2 linked regions of the Kluyveromyces lactis genome follow. The protein of the gene in region 1 interacts with the protein of each later gene in a pairwise test. Links are inferred from orthologs where the notes say so. Each region holds a gene or a part of one and is shown on either strand. Other genes may lie near its edges.

Evidence for each region.
Region 2: the proteins of UBC6 (region 1) and STE14 interact in a protein complementation assay, tested with the Saccharomyces cerevisiae proteins (2 studies listed by BioGRID). The link is inferred for Kluyveromyces lactis from reciprocal best matches to the Saccharomyces cerevisiae genes UBC6 and STE14.

Annotation. Positions count from the first base shown.
Region 1 is NC_006041.1:1,813,295-1,816,099, forward strand, and holds UBC6 (E2 ubiquitin-conjugating protein UBC6), read left to right. Parts: upstream 1-1,323; coding exon 1,324-2,079; downstream 2,080-2,805. Other genes in the region: KLLA0_E20373g (ribose-phosphate diphosphokinase), read right to left, coding at 1-654; KLLA0_E20417g (uncharacterized protein), read right to left, coding at 2,402-2,805. UniProt on the Saccharomyces cerevisiae protein: Catalyzes the covalent attachment of ubiquitin to other proteins. Functions in degradation of misfolded or regulated proteins localized in the endoplasmic reticulum (ER) lumen or membrane via the ubiquitin-proteasome system.
Region 2 is NC_006037.1:192,079-195,007, forward strand, and holds STE14 (protein-S-isoprenylcysteine carboxyl O-methyltransferase), read left to right. Parts: upstream 1-1,544; coding exon 1,545-2,291; downstream 2,292-2,929. Other genes in the region: carnitine O-acetyltransferase CAT2, read left to right, coding at 1-87; VPS71 (Vps71p), read left to right, coding at 415-1,164; KLLA0_A02189g (Siz/PIAS RING finger protein), read right to left, coding at 2,422-2,929. UniProt on the Saccharomyces cerevisiae protein: Mediates C-terminal methylation of the isoprenylated C-terminal cysteine in A-factor mating pheromone and Ras proteins.

The sequences.
Region 1 (2,805 bases):
ACCCACAAGCACCATACGAGAAACCTCGTTAGCCTTTTGTCTTTCCTTATGGATTAACGCGAAGTTCAAATCTAGCTTATCTGCCAGAGAAGCAACTCTCTTAGCACCGCCGGCATCAGGCGATACAAGGATCGCATTACCGATGTCAGTTTTATGTTGAATATATTTTAGAACACTTGGTTCGGCGTAAAGATTATCCACAGGAATATGGAAGAAACCTTGAATTTGAGAAGCATGTAGGTCCATAGTGATGACGTGATCACATCCAGCAGTTTCCAACATCTGTGCTACTAATTTCGCTGTGATTGGAGCACGAGATTTATCCTTTTTATCCTGTCTTGCATATGGAAAATTCGGAATCACGGCAGTGATTCTTCTAGCAGAAGCTGTTCTGCATGCATGAATTATAATCAATAATTCCATCAAGAAATCGTTAATCTCTTGCTCCCCTGTACCAGTTTGAATAATGTACACGTCCTCATCACGTATACTCTCCCCGATAGTGACAGAAGTTTCCTGATTAGAGTACTGGTAAACTCCGATGTTGGACAAGCGCAACCCAAGGGTTCTAGCAATATTCTGAGCTAGCTCGGGATGAGAGTTACCAGCCAATAATTTGATGCTATTGGTACTCATTCTTTTACTCGTTTCCATACAGTATGTATATGGTAGATATTACGTTCCAAAAAACCGAAACCAGAGCACCAGATGCAACCAAATATGGAAATTGGATATGGCAACAGCAACTGTCTAAACGATATAGTTGATTATTTCGGACTTTGGTCCTTATCTACAAGTTAATTACTTTCTTGATGTGATTTTCGACTCATTCAAATTTGTATCTTTTCATGATAAAAAACTCTGTTTAAAGCTTTTCATTCTTCCATTAGATATTCCGTACATAATACTATAAGGTGACATGACATAATGATATTTGGCAGAAACAAAGACTAGACAGCAGTAGTTGGCAGCAAATACTGTCATTTCAGCGAACATAGTAAATTAGGTCGTAATACTTTCAGCTGTTAGGCTTTTCCTCGTGGTGAGTACCCCAGATTTTCCCCTTTTTATAGAGAATCCACTGACATTTGAATCGAATTTTTTATGTATTTAAGAAACTTTTATTTAACTTTAAGGTTTTTTGTATCTTCTGCCAAAATGAGAGAAAGAATGCTTTTGTATTGCAATGTTGAAGGATCTAGGAAGGTCAAGAACAGTATATTGTCCGCTGCGAAAGACTTACACAAGTGTTTCCTGTTTTGAAGTTCCAATCTATCGCTCGTTACCATCCCAGTATCTCATATTTGCGTGTTAAAAGGTACGATGGCAAGTATACAGGCTAACAAAAGGTTGACTAAGGAATACAAGAACATTGTTAACAACCCTCCTCCATTCATTATTGCAGCACCACATGAAGATAACATATTAGAATGGCATTACGTGATTACCGGTCCACCTAGCACTCCGTATGAGAATGGTCAATATCATGGAACGTTAACTTTCCCTTCAGACTACCCATTTAATCCACCGGCGATTCGCATGATTACGCCTAACGGCAGATTCAAGGAAAATACTAGACTATGTCTTTCGATGAGTGATTATCATCCAGAGGCGTGGAACCCAGCATGGTCTGTAGTGACTATATTGAATGGCCTTTTAAGTTTCATGACAGGTGATGAACAGACAACGGGGTCGGTGTCAACCTCTGATAAGGATAAAAGGACTCTGGCTAAGAAATCGAAACATTTTAATACTTATAGCAATTTCAAATTCAAGAATATGTTCCCTGATTTAAGAGAGTCGAATATTAAGGACATAGAGAGGGAGGCTGCTTTGGAAGCGGAATCCAAAGGAGCACAACAAGAGGAAAATAAAGCACAGAAACTAGCCACGGAGAAAGCAACTTCACTAGACGACATTTCGGATCCTGAGGATCGAGTAAGAATTCAAGAGCTTATAAAGGCCGAGAAGGATAAGAAAGATCAGGATAAAAATCCTGGCGAGAATAGCAACATCAAATCGCTGCTTTGTCTGATCTTGGCTATTGCGATTTTTTTCGTCGGTTTAATAATGAAATGAGTTCATCAAATATGTTAGCATCTTCTAGGCTCTAAGTGTTGTACAGTATAGTATTATTGATATTATGTTTCCAACTATGGCCACAACAGCGGTTCATATGATCTCGTCACCTGAGATTTCAACAATTTAAGACGGCGTTACATAAAAAATATATAAATAGTCAATTCATAAGAGACAATTAGAACAAAAAAACATACAAAATTAAAAATATCACAATGATTATAAGCCGTAGCCATATCATTGGTCATTTTTGTCGTTCAACATCTTTTCATAAATTCATTTCGCAAGATATTAGCACATATTCATAAGTGCAGCTTAAAGTTCAAAACTTCTCTACCTTTAAAACAACTTTACCATGTGCACGGCCTGTCTGCAGATAGGAAAATGCCTTTTGATGTTCTTTCCAATCATATACCCTATCTACAGGAATAAACTTGACAACTTCACTTTCTATTAGCTCATGACATTTTTTTGGCCATTCATTTGTCGCTAATTTGGCATTTGGATCAAAATAAAACATTTGATAATCGAAAGACCATAGCACCTGTCCGAACAGCTTTCTAATATTAGAACTTGCAGTACCCCATGAATTAAAAGTATCTTTCTTGTAATTCGATTTATTATCGCCAACGGTTGTGATGTAAGTAGCATCTTTGGACAAAATGGAAGAAGAGTGACCGATAATGTCATACCCTCCAATAAAGTCAAGAACTAAATTGAAGCTAC
Region 2 (2,929 bases), on another chromosome or scaffold:
GACGAACTACACTATTATTTAACTAAGGCGGCAGATGAAATGTATGAAACTTTGTCTCTACACAACTCTGCCAAGGCCAAACTATGATATAGCACAGGCACCAGTTTATATTGTTTTAGTACGAGTCCATTATATATGATATTCTAACCACTTTATGATCTATTATGAATTACTGAACAAGGATGCACTGGCAACAATTGGTACCATCATCAACCATACGTTAACGGCCTATCTTACCCAATGATTGACATCTTTTCTCTCCCTTCAGTTACTGTTGTTCGCATATCTACCATATTATATATCAAATGAGAATATGGCAAAGAAATTTAAAATCGACCTTATCATAGTGAGTATACCGAGGAAGACACTTTATCACTGGATAAAAGAAGGAAGAAGCGTGCGAAGAGTGTCAATATGAGGTCGGTAGAAGAAATCAATGTGAGGACGTATAATCCTAACATTTATTTCAGCAGTTTGAACCAAACTCATCAAAGTGCAAGGGTCTCGAAACAGTCTCAAACCTCAGCAAGAAACAAGAGAGTCAATTATTCATTGGCTGATTTGGAGGCAAAGATATATAATCAGCCCAAGGGAAGCGATAAAGACGACATAAATCAACTGACAGGATCTGATAAGCATGCCTTGCCTGATTTGTTACGATCTAATAAGCGGTTCATGGAACTTGACACAGAAAACTATCAAGATCTTCGTGAAGTTACAACTCTTCTCAGTAACATCACGGGGCTGAACAAAGATAAGATCGATCAAACAAGCACCGGTATATTATCTGAGCAACAATCAGGCTCAGGTTCATCCAGACAGAGGATGGCCAAGTTCGATTTGCCCAAGTCTATGAATTTATTGTATAAATCAAGCAAGCCGCCTCGGAAATCAAAGAAAAGTTCCAACAGAATATCAGCACTAAGGAAAGTACTTTCAAGCAGAAGGTCTTTACACTCCTATCTAGAAACTTTAGACCAAGTGAACCACACACTCATTTATAGTAACGTTCAAAACAAGAAGTTTTTCAGGGTCTTACCAATGATCGTCACCTGCTCTATGTGTGGTGGTTACTCCAGTATATCTAACTGCGTTGTTTGCAATGACAAGATATGCAGTCTTCGCTGTTATGAATTACACAGTGAAACAAGATGTAACAACTGAGTTTGCTGCTAGCTGAAAAAACTTAACAGCTACTCTCTTTGAACCTCAAAACACTGCTCATGATCCCGTGTTTGTTGCTTCATGTTGATGTCTTTGTAAATACTGATTATAGTATAAAATCGAGGCCATTATCTTTTTTTTTTCATTCTTTCACTTTAAACAATTTTAATACCGATGAAAGAGAAGACTTTAACTTAACTATTTGTTATCGAACAAGACACTATTTGAACTCCTTGCTGTTGGTATTTAGCAGTACGCATCATATTCCATTAATATATCAGACCTTGAAGAATCCTTCACGCTGGTTTTTGGTTTTTATTCTGAGCTATTCTAGTTGAAATCAGTGAAGGTATTGGCGTGGATTGAGAGGTGCGGAAGTTATGTCGAGCAGAGATGATGAAAGTGAGGATGTTCTTGTGATTATTGATGGGAAAACATTTCCTAATATACAAAAGAACGAATTGGACGAGATATCTTTAACGGCATTTATGCTAGGAGTGATTTTTGGTGTATCCCTTATTACATTATGCCTGTCTCCTTTTTGGAACTTCAACATATACATGATCTCACTATCCATATTTCATCTGTTAGAGTTTTGGATTACTGCCAAATACAATCCTGGGAAATTGAATACAAACTCCTTTTTGATAAACAACGGTGTCGGGTACTTTTTGGCCCATTCGGTTGCACTGATAGAGACAATCATAGAACGCCTTCTATTCCCGTCGTTCAAATCTACAACCTATTCCTTTTACAACGAATTTATTGTTACCGTAGGAGTTGTATTGCTACTCCTTGGACAGTATGTTAGATCATCTGCAATGATCACAGCGGGGCAATCATTCTCACATGTTGTGAAGGTAACAAAGAACTCTGACCACACTCTTGTCACGTCCGGCATATATTCAAAGAGTAGGCATCCCAGTTACTTTGGATTCTTTTGGTGGTCTGTTGGCTCGCAGCTAATGCTGTTAAATCCAGTTTCATTGGTCATTTTTATTGTCGTTTTATGGAAATTCTTCAATAGTAGAATTGCATTCGAAGAAAGATACCTCGTGCAGTTTTTCGGGAATCAGTACATAACGTACAGGGAAACTGTAGGAGTTGGTATTCCCTTCATCAAATAGAATAGCCATTTCTTTTCGGTTTGGTAGTTGTAACAGTAAAAATACAATATTGTATATGAATGATTTATGAAGTTTTATGTATATACTTTATGCAGTTCATACTAAAACTTAACGTAATCCTTGTAGAATGTTAATCGGAGGTCAAGTCGATCAAATCGTCAGAATTAAGAGAGTCATTAGGAGGCGGTACATTATTTGAATTCATTATAGCCGGGGAAGGCGATACCTGCACATTGGATATGGGTGAAGGTGCTGGTAAGGTTCCAGAGTCATGGTTCCCGTTGATTTCTGAATGCACATTTTGTGCGTTGCCGTTGGAGTGTGCTCTTTTCTTCGGTAGAACATTCTTAAAATTCTTCTTGGGTAAAAACGGTGATACCTCTGGCTTCCTTCTTCTAGGATCATGGATAGGCGGTGGTTGAGGTAAATTCGGTGACATCGTAGAAGTAGTTGATCTCACTGGCAAAGTTGGTAGAGGTGGTAGTACAGGAACTCCCATGGAAGGAGGTTCTGTGGGCTGTATGGATACCTGTGTGACTTTATCGCTTGTTTGGCCACGCGGAGAACTTCCCATTGGTTGAACAACGATCCGAGAATTGCTATCAGAAAAGGAACCGGAAGGTGCTTGAGGGTGAGCT